Linked DNA regions of Tribolium castaneum. The protein of the gene in region 1 interacts with the protein of each later gene in a biochemical or structural test. Links are inferred from orthologs where the notes say so. Each region holds a gene or a part of one and is shown in the gene's direction. Other genes may lie near its edges. The genes, in order: Cul3, UbcE2M, CSN5, Ubi-p63E, Pef and SCCRO3.

What was found.
Region 2: the proteins of Cul3 (region 1) and UbcE2M form a complex in vitro, tested with the Homo sapiens proteins (2 studies listed by BioGRID, with this or other methods). The link is inferred for Tribolium castaneum from reciprocal best matches to the Homo sapiens genes CUL3 and UBE2M.
Region 3: of the proteins of Cul3 (region 1) and CSN5, one has a biochemical effect on the other in vitro, tested with the Homo sapiens proteins (2 studies listed by BioGRID). The link is inferred for Tribolium castaneum from reciprocal best matches to the Homo sapiens genes CUL3 and COPS5.
Region 4: the proteins of Cul3 (region 1) and Ubi-p63E form a complex in vitro, tested with the Homo sapiens proteins (2 studies listed by BioGRID, with this or other methods). The link is inferred for Tribolium castaneum from reciprocal best matches to the Homo sapiens genes CUL3 and UBC.
Region 5: the proteins of Cul3 (region 1) and Pef form a complex in vitro, tested with the Homo sapiens proteins (2 studies listed by BioGRID). The link is inferred for Tribolium castaneum from reciprocal best matches to the Homo sapiens genes CUL3 and PEF1.
Region 6: the proteins of Cul3 (region 1) and SCCRO3 form a complex in vitro, tested with the Homo sapiens proteins (3 studies listed by BioGRID, with this or other methods). The link is inferred for Tribolium castaneum from reciprocal best matches to the Homo sapiens genes CUL3 and DCUN1D3.

Annotation. Positions count from the first base shown.
Region 1 is NC_087398.1:13,274,765-13,278,264, forward strand, and holds part of Cul3 (cullin-3), read left to right. Parts: coding exon 1-191; intron 192-240; coding exon 241-411; intron 412-2,898; coding exon 2,899-3,006; intron 3,007-3,063; coding exon 3,064-3,188; intron 3,189-3,243; coding exon 3,244-3,500. UniProt on the Homo sapiens protein: Core component of multiple cullin-RING-based BCR (BTB-CUL3-RBX1) E3 ubiquitin-protein ligase complexes which mediate the ubiquitination and subsequent proteasomal degradation of target proteins.
Region 2 is NC_087394.1:37,270,882-37,273,722, reverse strand, and holds UbcE2M (NEDD8-conjugating enzyme Ubc12), read left to right. Parts: upstream 1-1,243; 5' UTR 1,244-1,415; coding exon 1,416-1,521; intron 1,522-1,567; coding exon 1,568-1,662; intron 1,663-1,713; coding exon 1,714-2,061; 3' UTR 2,062-2,341; downstream 2,342-2,841. Other genes in the region: msk (importin-7), read right to left, coding at 2,677-2,741, 2,795-2,841.
Region 3 is NC_087395.1:23,654,608-23,657,832, reverse strand, and holds CSN5 (COP9 signalosome complex subunit 5), read left to right. Parts: upstream 1-1,199; 5' UTR 1,200-1,520; exon of another isoform or gene 1,521-1,564; 5' UTR 1,565-1,585; coding exon 1,586-1,743; intron 1,744-1,792; coding exon 1,793-2,669; 3' UTR 2,670-2,725; downstream 2,726-3,225. UniProt on the Homo sapiens protein: Probable protease subunit of the COP9 signalosome complex (CSN), a complex involved in various cellular and developmental processes.
Region 4 is NC_087396.1:13,943,084-13,947,106, forward strand, and holds Ubi-p63E (polyubiquitin), read left to right. Parts: upstream 1-1,223; 5' UTR 1,224-1,363; intron 1,364-1,477; coding exon 1,478-3,535; 3' UTR 3,536-3,625; downstream 3,626-4,023.
Region 5 is NC_087403.1:4,842,524-4,845,175, reverse strand, and holds Pef (peflin), read left to right. Parts: upstream 1-1,202; 5' UTR 1,203-1,350; coding exon 1,351-1,359; intron 1,360-1,417; coding exon 1,418-1,763; intron 1,764-1,854; coding exon 1,855-2,081; 3' UTR 2,082-2,152; downstream 2,153-2,652. UniProt on the Homo sapiens protein: Calcium-binding protein that acts as an adapter that bridges unrelated proteins or stabilizes weak protein-protein complexes in response to calcium.
Region 6 is NC_087399.1:5,912,494-5,915,157, reverse strand, and holds the end of SCCRO3 (DCN1-like protein 3), read left to right. Parts: intron 1-1,231; coding exon 1,232-1,583; 3' UTR 1,584-2,164; downstream 2,165-2,664. UniProt on the Homo sapiens protein: Contributes to the neddylation of all cullins by transferring NEDD8 from N-terminally acetylated NEDD8-conjugating E2s enzyme to different cullin C-terminal domain-RBX complexes and may play a role in the cell cycle progression by regulating the SCF ubiquitin E3 ligase complex, after UV damage.

The DNA of each region.
Region 1 (3,500 bases):
TAACATTCGTCCAGTCGTTGCTAGATCTGAAGGATCGGTTCGATCATTTCTTGAAGAATTCGTTCAATAACGATAAGATCTTCAAACAGATGATCGCCTCAGATTTCGAACATTTTCTCAATCTCAACCCGAAATCGCCCGAATACCTCTCCTTATTTATAGATGATAAATTAAAAAAAGGCGTCAAAGGGGTGGGTAACTTGCAAGGGGGAAAACTCGGTGTTATAACTTTCGTTTCAGATGTCCGAACAAGAAATTGAATTGGTTCTTGACAAGTCCATGGTACTCTTTAGGTTCCTTCAAGAGAAAGACGTTTTCGAACGCTATTACAAACAACACTTGGCCAAGCGATTACTTTTGAATAAGTCGGTTAGCGACGATTGGGAGAAAAATATGATTTCAAAGTTAAAGGTAAAAAATATTAACCGTGAACTTGTCACGTGAGTTGTGTGTTTATATCAGAAACATACAGCGTCTGTCTAAATTTATATCAAGGTTTCTCTTTCTGATACGACTTATCAACAACCTTGAAACAATAATACCACAAATTAATTCCGTGCAAGACGCTTTACACATTATTTATATAACATCCAGGATGGATTTTAGTCAACTACTAATTAATAATATTGAAAAAAAGGCAATTGAGATAAACGATTTATTGCAAACTTTATCTTGTTTGTGGGTCAGGCTAAGTAGTCGTTTACATTTTTTTTGACTAGTTTCGTAATTACAAATATTTTCAACACATTTTTACCAATACAGGATGTTACAGCAGTTGTTTCGGTTAATAATTTCAACAAATTTTCGAAATATAATAAAATTTGAAAAAATAGTTCATGTTTGTTATTGAAGTTGCAAACTATTAGAAAAACTAAGTCAAAAATTCAACACTTTAATTACAAACAGCGCGTACATTTATTTGAAGACAATCAGATAATAATGTCTTCCAAATATCAGATTGCAAAAGATCCTTTAAAAAAATTCTCCTAAATTAAAAAAAAATTATTCGGTTTTTTTATTGCAAACTGCGTGTTTATTAATTTGAAAACAATCGGAATAATTGTCTTCAAAGTATAAACATCAAAAAAAAAATCTAAACTAAAAAAAATTAATGGAATTTTCTCTAATTTAATAAAAGTCCAGTACAGACTTCAATGGGGTATTTTTAAAGTACCACGTGGAGATTTTTTTTGTTGTCACTGAGACCCAAAACACTGTCGGAAAAACTAACCAAAACACCTTACAAAATTCTTACACTTGTAACAAATTTAAAAAAAATACTAACAGAGAAATTCTCATAGTAATTAATAAATCATCATTAGAAACTCTTCCTCCAAAAGACTGCAAAAGTCGTTCAGAAGTAACGGTTAGAACAAATAGTGTAAATTTTTGAAAAAATCTTTAATTAAAAATTCATTACACACTTTAATAAGGGTATTGGTCATAAAGTCGATCCTTGCAATTATTGCAATTGTCCATTGTGGTGCAAAAAATTTTTATAGTGAGTTGTCATTGTAACAGGTTCGTCATTTGCACTACAATGTTTTTTTCAATAAAAAACAGGTATATAACTTTGGTAGACAATTATTTATGGAGAAAAAATTTTGAACTTTAATTAGAAAAAAATCAACATCACCGAACTGTTAAAATCAAATATTTATATTACAGTTACAATAGCCAAACTATCTTTGCACCATTCTGCAACACGAATAGATTATGAATCTACAATTATTTTTTTCAGTGATTTTAGTAGTTTTTTTTGTAGATCTAAAACTTGTAAAACGATGGAAGTTTGATGAAATTTTGTTTCTTGACTATTTGCGTTCTCACTTTAACTTCAACTATGCTGCATTTTGAATCTTGCAGTTATTTGAAATTTAACTTTTATTTTATCTCGGTTATGTAGGAGTCTTAAAAAAAACATTCTTGCTTCTCAAAAAAAATCATTAACCAGACGTGACACGTTACAAGAAAACAGCAATTTTTTTCAACTTTCTTTTGTTAAGACTAAAACTTGTGTTATATTCGTTGGAATCTACATTTATTGAGAAATCTTTTGCAAAAAATATGAAGTTTATAGCTTTGTTCAGAAGGAAGATATGAAGATGTAATCACAAAATTTTCCCATTTTTTTAAGTTGTTACCTATCATTCTTTACTTTTAAGCACCTTCTAACTCGGTTAATTTTAATATCAAAAAAATCAAAACATGTTTATGTAGAATGTTTTGCTTTACATTTTTTTATTTAGATTTTTTATATTGTTCCTAGCTCTTAGCTCTTACCTATTTTGAACAACATTGAAAAAACCCTTTATTTGAATTTTTTAACTCTGTCCAAAAAACAATATTTTTGATTCAGTTTTTTTCATAATCATAAGTAGTTGCTCCAAACTTTAATATGAACGCTTTTTTGACTGCACTATACTAATGTCTTCTCTGTCTCAAACGTTTGAATTAAAGCTCTTCTATAAGACTGACTGAGAGAAATGTAAATTTATCGAAGACATAACATTAAAAAGATTTTTTACGACGTCAAAACTACTTTCCTTATTTGGTCTGCATAAGACAGCTGAACAATTTTTTACAACTTGTTATGGTATTTCTTTTGCAATGACTCGATAAAAAGTAAAAGCATTAAAGCTTTTGAGCCGTTAAAAAATCCTTAATTTTACTTTTCACTTAGCTTGATCTTTCTTTTTAACATTACCCAAGAAATGGTCCGAGACTTCTGAATCACTCTGTATAAAAAGAGACTAGAGGATTAATGCTTTTAAAAGATTTTTATTTTACACAATAATTTCATTGTTAAATTCTGCGTTAACTTACACCAAGCCCTTCACTTTATTTGTTGATTGTCATAATAATAATAATTGTTAAATAATTTTTATTTTGTTTTAGACTGAGTGCGGTTGTCAGTTCACGTCAAAACTTGAAGGCATGTTCAAAGATATGACAGTTTCAAACACGATCATGGACGAGTTTAAGGATCATATCACCAAAACTGAGGTATTAAAATTGTAGAAAAAAACTTGTATGCAATTTTTAATTTTTACATATCCACAGTCAAGCTTATGCGGGGTGGACCTTTTCATGCGCGTCTTAACGACCGGGTTCTGGCCTACGCAGAGCGCCACTCCCAAGTGCCACATTCCTGCTGTTCCACTAGCTGCCTTCGAATGTTTTAGTAGGTTGGTAAACCACTCAACTCGAAACCATTTTTTTTCTAAACCCCCTCTGTGGTAGATTTTATTTAGCCAAACATAGCGGAAGGCAGTTGACGTTACAACCCCAGTTGGGCAACGCCGATCTCAATGCCATATTTTTCGGTCCGAAAAAGGAAGACCCCGACAAAGACGGGGCGTGTTCGTCGACCAGCTCCATTTCGCCGCGGACAGGCCCCAGAAAGCACATAATCCAAGTGTCCACCTACCAAATGGTCGTTTTAATGCTGTTCAACAACCATGAGAAATTAACCTATGAGGAGATTTTAAACGAGTCGG
Region 2 (2,841 bases), on another chromosome or scaffold:
TTTTTTACACCTCATAACAGCATGGAGAAAAATATCTACTTTGACTAAGTCTCATTTAATTCGTAATAATTGTTGTGATGGATCATCAAAAATTAAATGTAATGACTGGTGCTTTTTAAAAGGAACTGATGTGATATAATATTATTTGCAGATAATATGCAAGAATAATTGCACAATAATTTTTATTTAACACAATTTTTTTCCTAAAATTAGATATAGGATCAAACAAACAATATTAATAAACGAAAAATACAAGCTTTTTAAATTAATGAATTATTGATTGATAACTAGAAAAGCCATTTCTCTGAAGTCGTCTGTAAAATGGTTACATTACAGACCATATTTATTTGGGTTCAAAATAGTCTCTAGAGTGTCGTACTTTTCAAAGCTCATAAAATGTGATAACTGATGACGTGATGAGTGATGAGACTTTGTGTGAAATGACTGCATTTCCAATTTTTTTTAAGAAACTTGGAAAATTATCAATTCAGAAAAGCACTAAATTTGTTTTTTACACTCAGATGAGTCAGATGGTTATCTCCTCTGCTATCTATCACTTTAGACAACAAACCCCATATTCATGAAAACTCAATTTTAATTTAAATATTACAATATTTTAGGCAAAATGCTAAAATATTTTTTAATTAATAATTTCGTAAAAAAATTAAAATTGCTCAAACCGTCGCGTCGTCTGCGTTGATAGTTGAATGACAATTAACGAAGACGACGCGACGGCTCAAACCCGTGGCCCAAACTTTGCAAAAGTTGCTCTGCGCGTCAAAATGTAGTACCGTATAAAATTTCAATAACGATGCTTTAAAATATTAGGGTTGGATTTATATTAACAAATAAATTAGAAATGTGTACACTTACCTTTGAGTAACTGCAAACATTCGTTTCAATGTTCATCTGTGGTCTGGTGGTCAACAAACTAATACACAAACTAAAAACACAATAACGAACAGTTCTAAAACGCTCCTAAACCGAAATAATTCGTTTCACAGAATAATTTTACGAATTTCAACAACTCAAGACGCGAAAAATCCGCAGAGGATGACAAACGCACCAGTAGTACCAATGTAATAACAACGGCACGAAATAAATTAATTTAAATAGCTTTGAACATAGTCTTCTGATGGTCTGCTTTATTGATTTGGATCTTTTGATTAAGTGCTTTGCAGAAAAATTCTTAGCATTAGCAATAAATGAATTTTTTAAATTTTTTCATTAAGAATTCGTTCCGATGGTAAAGTAAATTCCTGCATGTCCCATTGACAGTTTTGACATTGACAGATGTGTGAAAAATTCTCTTGCAAAAAGCAATCGAATAAACTCGACTTTCCCATGTTTTTGTAAAGTGTGCTCGCAGTAAATTACATTGCTCTGACCCCTCACCACCCCTGCGCCAGCCAAATATGATAAAACTATTCTCGCTGAAGCAACAGAAAAAAGATGGAGAAGCCTCACCGCGACCAGGAAATCAAAAGAAAGCCTCTGCAGCCCAGTTGAGGATTACGAAAGGTTGGTTGTGAGTCATTGCGCCCCCATTTTGACCCTCCCTTTGCAGATATCAACGAGCTGAACCTGCCCAAGACCTGCACGACGGAGTTTCCCGATCCGGACGACTTGCTGTCTTTCAAACTGGTGATTTGTCCGGATGAGGTTAGTTGTGGATTAGTGTGTGGGGTTGTGGTTAATTGGGGGGACGTTTAGGGTTTCTACAAGACAGGGAGGTTCGTATTCAGTTTCAAAGTGGGCCCCAATTACCCGCATGAGCCCCCCAAAGTCAAATGCGAGACACAGGTCTACCACCCCAACATCGACCAACAGGGCAACGTGTGCTTGAACATTTTAAGGGAGGATTGGAAGCCCGTACTGACTATCAACAGTATCGTCTATGGACTGCAGTATTTGTTCCTTGAACCCAATCCAGAGGATCCTTTGAACAAGGAAGCGGCTGAAGTGCTCACGACCAACAGGCGGCTGTTTGAGCAGAACGTCCAGAAGGCGATGCGTGGAGGGTATGTTGGCAGTACTTATTTCGACCGCTGTCTCAAGTGATTCTTATGTGTAAAGAACTTATTTATAAGTTTACTGTTTTATGCTCGTTGACGAGGACACTCGAGTGATTCTTGCATACCTAATTACTAATTTCGTTTATTAAAGCTACCACTATGTTGTTTTATTTGGCTTTTTCATCTCAATCGTTCTATTGTGATCATCATATCTCACTCCAGCGTAAAGCACCACAAAGCGGTGTGTTGTAATTTCTCCTCAGTGAAATGTAACTGATTTAATTAAGAAAATAGATAATTTTTCATAATAAAAATCTACAAAAATTCGAAGCAATTCTTTATTAAAATGCAATAACTTAACACCTTTCAGTATATTATAGAAATAATGTAATTTACTACATTGTCTTTCCCTAAAGAAGAAAACAAATGAGACAAAAGAGACACAGTCGAAAAATAATTACAATTACACGGAAAATAAACTTCCATTTAAATCTATATTAGGTAAATTTAAATCGTTTACATCCGTTTTTTTTTTGTTTAATAAAAAGGCACTTAATAAAAATTAAAAAAGATTAAATTACCAACTGTACATCATTTCACTGGTCTTAACAGTCAATTTTACATTCAGTCACAAAAATTTTACACACCACGTCACATATATTCATGACGGTTTTGGAGCGCCAAACTTAAAAGTTGTGGGTACTTCATGTTGTGTAAACATAAAACCTGGACAAACAAAATTAATTTGTTATTCCCCCAACACTATCATATAATTTTACCTCCCGATTGTTCAATTCTTTTACTTTCTTTGGCTGCTTTCCTCTGA
Region 3 (3,225 bases), on another chromosome or scaffold:
CGTAAACTTTTACTGGAGAATAACCGGTTGGGAGTCAAAATTAATCTTGAAACTGTCACAGCTTAGAACATTATCCGCACTACAAAGAGCCTATACATCACGAAACTAGTTGGAAATACCGTTGAACCCACCAAAAACTCACCTAAATTGAAACAAAGCTGCATTCGCTGGAAATCCTTGCGGTTATTTTAAAATTCGCAGCAGGTGGTATCTGGACTCGTTTAAAAACCCGGTTTACGCGTAAAAAACCTGGTTATTTTTAATTCGGGGGTAAAATCCCCTAGTCTAAATTTAGTTCGAACGGGAGGAAAGGAATTCATCGTGTTTCAATACGCGAGTATGTGGCCTTGGATTTGAATTTTTTACAGGCGCGTATTACATTGCAAGAAGACAGATAATAAACAAATTGCGTTTGAAATAAGCGATAACCGAACAATGCAAGTGCACCACAATGGTCGTTCCGTTGGGGATTTTCGGCACAGACATGTGGGTGCCACACCGACACCCTGACTCACCCTCGGACCCCAAGTCACGAATTCGCCCCTAATTACGGGGGACGTGCACTAACAAAGAACGCGGCCTAGCAACAGCCCCCAGCCTCAAGCATGGCCCCAATTTTTGAATTCTGCGACAACCGGCGCGCATCCCTCGACTCTAACGTCCCAAATCGCGAAAACTACGACATTTTCGCCGGCATTTGTTAGCGGAAATCGCCCCCCGGACCCAAAAATATGCTATTTAATTGACCACTTGGCCCAAAACTCACCTTATCCTCCTAAAATCCTATTTAAAACGAGCACAAATTCTACAACACAACGTTACCACACTACTTATTACAAACTTTTCTTTAACTAAAACGCGCATAATCTCGAATCAAAATGGCGGGCGCCCCACCATTATGCACCGAATGCCGCCCGCTGATTGGTCGGTTTGATTTAAGACGCTTTAGAATTGCCAACTGCTAAAAAACCACCCTAATAAAACTGTCAGGGTGTGGTTGGACTTGTTTATGGGTTTTAAACGATGAGACTCCAATTATACTCCCATAACGTTACACCGAATTACGGCCGGGCTTTACGTTCGCAAAAACCAACACAAAGTCGTTTCGTGCAAATGGGAAAAAAACAAAAGAAAAACGCTAATGGGACGACATCTGCAGGACTGTTAACACACTTTGCGAACACCTGTCCCACCTTGAAAAACACAATTCGGTAAAAATAGCCCAATGAAGGCAATAACGGGCCACCAAATGCCAAGCCACTCGTAAAATAATTATTTTCTGTGACAAAACTCCTTGTCGGTTTGTGCCACAAACAATTTATCGATTTTTTTTCATTACCATTATGCATTGTCTCATTATTACAGCAATTAATACGTAAATCGTCCCATATCTAAAAAAAAAAATTAAAAAAGTGTCCTTCCAGTTTTTATATTTACGATTGGTAGCGCTGTAATTTGACATCTGTGTTTTGACAGGTCCGATTTTTTCGAATTTTTGCCCAAAATAGCCCAGAATTACGGTAAATCCTCGTCATTTTCGCAATAACTCTCCATTTGTGATTAGCTTTTGCCCCCTTTTGCCGCAATGTCGAAGCCGGGGACCTCCGAAACCCAGGAACAAATCGCACAAAAAACCTGGGAAATGGCCAATAAAGTCGAACTGGTGAACTCGGTCGACGATATTTACCGCTACGACAAGAAGCAGCAGCAAGACATCCTCGCCGCGAAGCCCTGGGAGAAAGAGTAGGCAAAAGTCGGCCCTAACCTCACTTTACCTAATCTCAATTTCCAGCCCTCACTTCTTCAAAGATATCAAAATCTCGGCCTTGGCCCTCTTGAAAATGGTCATGCACGCGCGTTCGGGGGGCACCCTGGAGGTCATGGGCCTGATTTTGGGCAAAGTCGACGGAAACACAATGTTTGTGATGGACTCGTTTGCGCTGCCTGTGGAAGGGACAGAGACCCGAGTCAACGCACAAGCTCAGGCTTACGAGTACATGAGTTCGTACATCGAGGCTGCGAAGCTGGTGGGCCGCCAGGAGAACGCGATAGGCTGGTACCACAGCCACCCGGGATACGGGTGCTGGTTGTCTGGGATTGACGTTGGCACCCAGATGCTCAACCAGAATTTCCAGGAACCGTTCGTTGCCATTGTGATTGATCCTGTGAGAACCATTTCCGCGGGGAAGGTGTGTCTAGGGGCGTTCAGGACGTACCCGAAAGGGTACAAACCAGCAAATGAGGAACCGTCAGAGTACCAGACCATTCCTCTGAACAAAATCGAGGATTTTGGGGTGCATTGCAAACAATATTATTCGCTTGAAGTGTCGTATTTTAAATCGTCACTTGATAGGCGATTGCTTGATTCCTTGTGGAACAAATATTGGGTCAATACTTTGAGCTCGTCTAGTTTGTTAACGAATGCTGATTACACAACTGGGCAAATTTTTGATTTGTCGGAGAAGTTGGAACAGTCGGAAGCGGCCATTGGGCGCGGGGGGTTCATCGTAGGCGGCACTGATCCGCACGAAAAACGAACAGAAGACAAACTGTTGAAAGCTACAAAGGACAGTTGCAAGACTACGATTGAGATTATTCACGGACTGATGGCCCAAATGATCAAAGACCGGCTTTTTAACAGCACTTCCTTGAATAATTCGACCCATTAACGCGTTTTAATCTGTCTGATTTGTTTGGATTTAATAAATATTTATTTATAATCTAATTGGTGTGTTATTGGTTACCTAGTCCTAAAAAACTACGGATATCTAAAGGTTAGGATACGAAACGTCGTACAAATAAAACGTTCCCTTCCAAAGCAATGGATTTGAAAAAATTGTATTCGTATATCGGTTAACACAGCAAAAAAATACAGGCAAATGGAGCATTAAATTCTCAATAGTAAGACATAAACATAATGAAAAAAAAATACCGTAAACTACATTTAAAAAAATTTCAATCTTTGCCAATTAGCACTCTATCCCATATTTTTCAAAACGCTGGGAATACGATCAGCTTTTCTCAGTCTGTTCAGAGTGCAAAACTCAACATTCCTGCATTTTTTTTTTCAAGTAATTAGTGAATAATTGAATGAATTTAAATTAATTTAAAACGACTTGGCGCCGGTATAACGCTCGAAGTGCCCACATTTTTGCTTCACTTTTTGGGTCCAGAAAATCCCACGATTCTGCATCTCGTTCCGTCTCCTAAGTCATAGTCCTCCGT
Region 4 (4,023 bases), on another chromosome or scaffold:
AAATAATTTTAGGTGATCACCAATGTCAACATGTTTACCAAAAGCGGTTATTACCGTTTTGGAACTATAAAGTTTATCACGTCTTATCCTGTATTTTTGTAGTTGGACTACGTTACGTTTAGCAACTGTTAAAGCCGAATTGTATATTTTAGGTAACATGAAATGTATTTGTTGACTGCTTAGTTTTATAATGCGGACGAAAGATTTATGTTGAAGTAATAGAATTACGCTTTGTTAAAGTATCATAATTTTGAATTGTTGATATAGGAAGTATGAAATTATGGCGTATAATCAATCTGATGCAATATTTTTGTTGTTGCTGTAATTTCGGTAGCATGTTCTTGTAGTTTTAATTTTATGGACGCTGTGTAGTGTAAAATGGCCCATTATTTTTGTAATTAATTTTCATATTTTAGGGGTTTGTTTGCCACAATAATTGCCTCTTTATGTGATATTTGTTTCCATTTTATAGACACAAATGTGCCTTATCTATTACAATATGAAGAATAAATAAGTTGTAATGAATTACTGTACTTTTCTTTGTCCCAAATGACCCTTTTACATAATTTATTATTGTCGTCCGTATTTACATGATAAACAAGACTCTAGAACAACAACGATAAGGATAATTCTTTGTAAACAAATAAATTCCTTTCAAAATTGAACAGACGAATTTGGCATTTCATGCAGGTATTAATGGGTGGTTTATTTGAAACGTTTGAAAAGCATAAATTGGAAAATAAATTAAAATTTGAAAAATAAAAAAGGGCGTAATTCCAAAACAAAGAAAACAGCTGATCGATAAAGCTGACGACGTAGATAAAAATCAGCTGACATGTCACCAACAACTACTGGCCAAAGTCCCTAGAATCTTGTTCAATTAAAAGCAATTTTCTTAATACCTGAAACATTGTTTTGACCACGATTAACCGAATTGGCATTAAACTGATAGCAACTAAAGTTTATGTATAAATTTTTGATTAAAGAGGACGTTTTTTGGATAATTAGTCGAAAATTCTAGAAAGTGTACTTTGGGTTCGAGATTAAAAAGGAGTGGGGGAAGCCGTCCGTATAAAAGCGGTTCCACAGCTGCATTCGCCATATTGTCTGAGCAAAAGTGGTGAAATACAAAAGCGATTTAATTAAAATTGTGAATTTTCCTAGCCGTAAAGGTATGTATTTTAATTTCATCATGAATTATTCGATTGCAAGAAGCGCAGAAAGTCGCAATTTTGTGAAATTTTTCGCATGACGCAATAACATTTGTTTGAAAAAACATCGCCCTAGTGACGTGTTTTTTTGTTTAAATTTTAACAAAATTAATTTTGTAAATTTGTCGATCTGTTCAAAACCAAACCACATAGTGAGTAATGTGTTTTTTCGGTTTATTCAGTGCGTAATTCTTTGTTCAACGAAATCCAATATGGCGGCTTGGAAATTTGCTTTGTCACAAAAGTAATTTTTTGTGTCGTTGCAGATGCAGATCTTCGTGAAGACTTTGACTGGTAAAACCATCACCTTGGAGGTCGAGCCCTCCGATACCATCGAAAACGTCAAAGCTAAGATCCAGGACAAGGAAGGTATCCCCCCAGACCAGCAACGTTTGATCTTCGCTGGCAAACAACTCGAAGACGGACGCACTTTGTCTGACTACAACATCCAGAAGGAATCGACGCTCCACTTGGTTTTGAGATTGAGGGGCGGTATGCAAATCTTCGTTAAGACACTCACTGGCAAGACCATCACTCTGGAAGTTGAGCCCTCTGATACGATCGAGAACGTCAAAGCCAAGATCCAGGACAAGGAGGGCATCCCTCCAGATCAACAGCGTTTGATTTTCGCTGGTAAACAACTCGAAGACGGACGCACCTTGTCCGATTACAACATCCAGAAGGAATCCACCCTTCACTTGGTTTTGCGTCTGAGGGGAGGCATGCAGATCTTCGTCAAGACCTTGACTGGGAAAACCATTACTTTGGAAGTCGAACCTTCCGACACGATTGAAAACGTCAAGGCTAAGATTCAGGATAAGGAAGGGATCCCACCAGACCAACAAAGATTGATCTTTGCCGGGAAACAACTAGAAGATGGGCGTACCCTCTCAGATTACAACATCCAGAAGGAATCCACCCTTCACTTGGTATTGCGTTTGAGAGGTGGCATGCAAATTTTCGTCAAAACCCTGACTGGCAAGACCATCACCTTGGAGGTCGAACCTTCTGATACCATTGAGAATGTTAAGGCCAAGATCCAAGACAAGGAAGGTATCCCACCAGACCAACAAAGATTGATCTTCGCTGGAAAACAACTTGAAGACGGCCGTACTCTTTCCGACTACAATATCCAAAAAGAATCCACCCTCCACTTGGTGTTGCGTCTCCGAGGTGGCATGCAAATTTTCGTGAAGACTTTGACTGGAAAAACGATCACTCTTGAAGTCGAACCTTCGGACACAATCGAAAACGTGAAGGCGAAAATTCAGGACAAAGAGGGGATTCCCCCAGATCAGCAAAGATTGATTTTCGCCGGCAAACAGTTGGAGGATGGTCGCACACTCTCCGACTACAACATCCAGAAAGAGTCGACCCTCCACTTGGTGTTGCGTCTCCGTGGTGGCATGCAAATCTTCGTAAAGACTTTGACTGGGAAGACGATCACTTTGGAAGTAGAACCATCGGACACTATCGAAAACGTTAAGGCGAAAATTCAGGACAAAGAGGGGATTCCCCCAGATCAGCAGAGGTTGATCTTCGCCGGCAAACAGCTCGAAGATGGCCGAACTCTCTCCGACTACAACATTCAAAAAGAATCAACACTCCACTTAGTATTGCGGCTCCGAGGTGGCATGCAAATTTTCGTTAAAACTCTGACTGGCAAAACCATCACCCTGGAAGTCGAACCTTCTGATACAATTGAGAACGTCAAGGCTAAGATTCAAGACAAAGAGGGTATCCCACCAGACCAACAAAGATTGATCTTTGCTGGAAAACAACTAGAAGACGGCCGTACTCTTTCCGATTACAATATCCAGAAGGAATCCACTCTCCACTTGGTGTTGCGTCTCCGAGGTGGCATGCAAATTTTCGTGAAGACCTTGACGGGAAAGACGATCACTTTGGAAGTAGAACCCTCAGACACAATTGAGAATGTTAAAGCTAAAATCCAGGATAAAGAAGGCATTCCTCCAGATCAGCAGAGGTTGATCTTTGCTGGCAAACAACTCGAAGATGGGCGCACCCTGTCGGACTATAATATTCAAAAAGAATCAACCCTACATTTAGTATTGCGTCTGCGAGGAGGTATGCAAATTTTCGTGAAGACGTTGACTGGGAAAACAATTACGTTGGAAGTTGAGCCATCGGACACGATTGAAAATGTGAAGGCCAAAATTCAAGATAAGGAAGGTATTCCCCCAGACCAGCAAAGATTGATCTTTGCGGGAAAACAGTTGGAAGATGGTCGCACACTTTCGGACTACAATATCCAAAAGGAATCCACTCTTCATCTAGTCTTACGTCTTCGCGGAGGACAGTAATTTTCTGGAATTTCTATGCTTAATATTTTTTTTACTTTTTGTTACAAGTTTCCTGAAATTACGAATAGAGAATAAAGATTGATGGCTTAATTCTTGTGTTTTATTTTAGTACTCCATGTGAATTAATTCAAAAAAATGCTTATCAAAATTTTAAAACATTTGGCTTTACGGGGTTGGTTTGTCTTTGGATTTGGAGCTTAGACGAGATTGTAGGCCCGCGAGAATGTACGCTCACGAGAATTCTCCAAAAATCGCCAACACACAAATTGAAATTAAAAAAAGATTTGAGGTATATTTCCAACAAGGCAACAAATTCTTAAAAAAATAAGTTATTCATATGACTGCACATATTTTGGAGTAATTCGTTAAGCTAAATACAGTGTTAAAAATAAAGACTTCACTTTCATTGATATTCGGAGAAACCGGACTTGGCAGCCGATCGAATTTGACGTTAGGCATAAAAATAAAAAACTTAAAGACAAAAAAAA
Region 5 (2,652 bases), on another chromosome or scaffold:
CTTCAATCGTCTTGCAATTTTTTGTGCAGCAGATAAACAAGTAGGAGGTGATTTTTATATTTTTATTGGTCAATTACTCATTCCTGGGACAAATCAACCGGTTTTATAGGGTCGGTCTATCTCGGAACGGAATTGCAAATAAAATGGACGATTCCGCTTAGTTTTCGAATTATTTTGATTCCTTTGACGGAAACACAGTTTTTTTTAATTAATTAATGATTACACAAAAACTAAGAAACCTAGAAAAGGAGGATTTTTACACAACTAATTAAATTCTACAAAAAATTAATAATTACAATCATAATAATTAAAATAAATAAATTTTTAAAATCAAAATTAACAATTGGCGAACACTGCAATTTTGACACTTTTGCGTAAATTATTTTTTATTCCAAAATCAAGGTTAATACAAAAATTTTATAAGATAGAAAATTTGTTTATAATCAAAAAATAACTTAATATAGAATTAGAGTATGCATAATTCAAAAATGGAAAAAAAACTTAAAAAACATTGAAATTAAAATTCTGTAGATCTAAGTGACTGAAAGAGTGATAATTAAAAACAAAGAAACTGTAATGAGTAAGAACATTAATAAGATAAGATAGAAAAACCACGAAAGGCTAAAAGATTTAGGAAAAATGAATATTATGAAATAATGTGGAGAAATTAAGGAACTAAAAGCTGAAATACTGGAACAAAAAATTTTAAGATGTTAAATAAAATAACTACGAAATTGAAGAATTAGATGTAATACATGATTTTAAACTAAATAGTAATAAAAAAATAACAAAAAAAATAAAGCCGTTTGTGGCCAAAACAAAAGAGCTAAGACAAAAAGTTTTATTCCATCGTAAAGAGTGCGTCAAACTCTATAAGCTGGAATAAATTTAAATAGATTTTCTTCGAAAATTTTTATTTTTTATATTTTGTTAATTACTTCCAGCAAAACTATTGTATGTAAAATAATCTGGAAAATTAATTAGTTTCAAGAAAATACGAAAATTCGTAATACCTAGTTTTCAAGTTATAAATATCTATATATTTTACCAATTTTTACTTCTGTTAGCAATATTCTCAAAAACTCCTAGTTGCAAGGCAATGGTCTTTTTTTAATAGACAATTAAAGGAGCTTTCTGACGCTAAGCTTAATAACTCCGGAGTCAAAAATCAAACGTAGCGCTATTCTGTGGTAATAGGATATTTCCGCTCCAGATGGCTCTAGAAGCGTTGTTACTGACTGTTACCATAGAATAAGAGGTTAACAGTTGACAGTTCTTGGTGATTATTTGTTTATATAAATGTGCGTTAATTTCTAATATTTTTTTGTAATTGTACATGCCACAAGCATAATGTACGGTGTAAGTACCTATTAGAGAACTGTAATAAATTGTATTATGCATGTTACTCGTTAAATAGAATCCCGGGAGTGGATACCAAGGATATCCTGGTGGGGCTGCCCCTGGGTACGGTCAAGGAGCTGCAACTCCGGATGTTCAGCAGTGGTTTAATACAGTAGATAAGGATCGTTCTGGTCAAATAAATTGGCAAGAACTACAAAGTGCTCTTATCAATGGCCAGGGGAAGAATTTTTCAGACGTCGCTTGCAAGCTTATGATTGGGATGTTTGATAGGGATAAGACAGGGACAATTGATATTAACGAATTCCAACAACTCTTCGCATACATTAATCAATGGTTGGCTGTATTTAAAAATTATGATAGGGACCAGTCAGGACACATTGAGGAGCCAGAACTTGCCCAAGGTAATCTTCAACTCATCTACATTTATTCCCGGAAATATTTAAAGAATGTCGGTGTTAATAGAATTATTGCTGGATCTTATTTTATTTTTAGCGTTGCAACAGATGGGATTTAAATTTTCCCCCGATTTCGTAAAATTTTTAATTGCTAAAAGCGACCTTCAAAACCACAAACAAATGTCAGTAGACCAATTTATCGTACTTTGCGTGCAAATCCAGCGGTTCACTGAAGCTTTCCGATCAAGGGACAGTGAAATGAAGGGGGTTATTACAATTGGATTTGAAGATTTTCTCAGTGTCGCGATAAACTGTTCCACATGATTTACTATTTAATTCGTTTAATTCCATTACTAGGGTTAATTTTGTAGGAACAATAAAACTAATAAAACTTAGTCTCTAAAATGTTTTATTAAAAATCCCGTACAGTATAGATGTTCCACATCATTTTTAAGCAAACAAATACTTATTGTAACAACAGTAGGCAATGGGTCGGGTCAAAAAATATTACTGTCGTATCTATAAATTAATCACATTATTTTACGTACATTTTTAAATAGCTAAATTTTATAGTATAGTCTACTGATTAAAAGTGAATTTCAGCAGCACATTTTTAAAGTCGTTGATTGTTTGTTAGGCGTTTTTTTCTACTTGATATTATAAAAACGTTAGGATTATAGTGTGGTCGTTGTAAGTACAAGTTGCCGTTAAAATTCACTTGTGAAACGTAACTGAATTAATCTACAAGCATTGGCCAATGTCCCTGTAAAGTTTCAGTATAAAACGTCGAAACAAATCACAGCTAAAACATGCTACAGCAAATTTTAATCCTAAGTGAAGAAGTACAAACTTTTCAAATATATTTTTATATTAATAAGCGTCATTATTGTGCCCT
Region 6 (2,664 bases), on another chromosome or scaffold:
AAATTTCCTATCAGACTTTAGCAGTTTTTTTTAATTTAATAAAAAATAAAATTCATAAAAAAATCACAGTTTGTAGATGTGCCAACAGTGGGAATTATTTCCTAGGACACTGTTTCAAAAATAATTTATTTTTATTGTTGATCAAATTCTATTGCGCTCACGACTGTTAGACAACGTTGGCACATATCATTTATTTAAAATTCGTTATTTATCAATAACATTAATACAAAGAATTTTTTTACTATTTTTATCATTATATGTAAGCGATTCTCTGCCTCACTTCATTAAATTCGTGCGCCGGTTTTTGAGCACCCGGTATATACAGAGGGAAAATTTTTAAACTAAATAAGTGTCCAACCTTTAGACGCGCGGGGATGTATTTTAAATTTTTCTGGTTGCTTTATTGTATAAATACAAAAGCCTTTAAGTTAGTTTGTAGAAAATACTTTCCGTCTCTTCATAGTTGTTTCGAATATTGTGAAAAATCTCCACTGACATCTTTAAACTTGAGTATTTTGCCTCAGAATTTTTTTCGCTTTCCTTTGAGCGTAGAAAAATTGTATTTCTGGATATCGTCTCCTAGTCTGTACTTCGTTGTCAACGGATTTTCTACTTCCGAAAATTGGTGTAATTTTTTAGCCCCTTCCAGATTCTCTTACTGCAATGCCTTCATCAATAAGGGATTATCAAGAACTATAATAATTTTACGGTGATAAGTAAAGAAAAAAAGTGAAAATACCTCAACTTTCCTTATCCGAATGTTATTGAGCTATAAGGTTTTAGTCGACGAATAAATTTAAATTTGGGGTGCATTTTTTTTCTCAATATATAAGTAAGAAAGTGGTACTTTATGAAAGGTCTGACTGTATTTTTCAATCCTTTACAAAACGATTGATTTTGTAACCTGGTATTATTTTCTAAATGGATAATAATAAAAACCATTCCGTCAATAAGACGGAAACTTGTTAGGTATTTTATAATACACTTAAAATTTCCAGTCGTATCGTAAAAATCTTGCAATTATTTATTCATTCGATTTCCCGGTCGTTTGCAATATTACTAGGCTTTTTCTAAAACGCCCGATTATACATTGTTTTAAAAATCCTAAAAAAAGTTAACAAGCCCTAAAAGTACATCAGAATTGTAGATGCTGTCATGAAAGCCGCATTTGAAAATGATGAAGTGTTTGTAAGTTATCATAATTTTATCGCTTTTTCTTGCTACGCCACAGGTTTACCTTCCGGTTCGGCCTGGATTCTGCGGCGGGGCAGCGAATCCTGCCGACGGACATGGCGGTGGTGCTGTGGCGGCTGGTGTTCACAATGCGGGAACCCCCGATCCTCGCGCGCTGGCTGTCGTTCCTCGAGAGTCACCAGTCGGTTCGGGGGATTCCCCGCGACACGTGGAACATGTTTTTGAATTTCGCCGAAGCCGTGGGCGACGACTTGAGTTGTTACGACGACAACGAGGCGTGGCCGAGCCTGTTCGACGACTTCGTCGAGTACGAGAACGACCAAGCCAACCAAAACATTTCCAAAGACAAGGACTGCGAAGGGCTGATCATCATCGAGCAGAACGATTGATGGTGGTTCGGGCGTCTTGTATATAAAACTGCCTATATATTTTTGACGGGGCGAAGACCCCGCCGGTCGTGATATTTGCGTAGTGGTGAGGTGTGCAACAAGGAAATTTTTCTATGAACGTACGTTTGATCATGCAGTTTTGCGCGCGCGCTATTTGCTTTGGATGTGTCGTCTGATGGTTTTATATAACGGAAGTGAGAGATAGGCAAGAAACGTGCCTACATTTTTTACTTAAATTCGGTTCACTCGTCCATTAATTTTATTGTGGAGATGTTATTTTTTTATGCGTCGTGACTCAGGACTAGGCCGCTATTGATTTTTATGCTAAATTATCGGTGTGTTCAGTATTAATTCGGTCTCTTGTTGGAAGCTAAATTCGCGAGCTGTCGGTTTTTCCTTTTTTGTGATATGTTCTATTTGGAATTTTTCGTGTAAGACTGAAAGGTCATTTTAGGTGCTCTGATTTTAACTGTCTTATTTTTATTACTTCATTATTCTATCAATATATTTATTTAGATTTTTTAATTGTAGATATTACTGTATATTTGAATGTTTTGTGAATAAACAGTATGATTATTTAATTGGACGCAGTGATGCGCCCGTCCTTCACACCTCGACTTACTACGGATACCTAAAGGTTAGGAGATGACGCGGCGTACAAATAAAACGTTCCCATCCTCGATAGTTCTATTAAATCTCGCCAGAGAGCGCAAATTTTATATAATTTTTCTTCTCATATTTCATATGAAAATTTTAGTCGTTAGTTTTTCTTGGTAACATTTTAAGCCTTCTATTTAATATTTGAATCATAGATTATGAACACTATTTACCATAGCAACGTGTTTTCACTATTTTAAAAATTGAATAACACTCATACGGAAAAATTAATATATTTTTTTTTTTTTGAATAAGAGATTTAGAAAGGAAGTGTTAAATATGGAAACTTGCAACAGTTTTTTAAAATGAAGTTTACATCATTTGTCTCAAAAAAATCAAACATTAACGTCCCGAATTCGTTTTTACAAAATAGCCTACATTTGTTTGTGATAAATATCTATCAATTCGTGCAAAAAACGGTTGT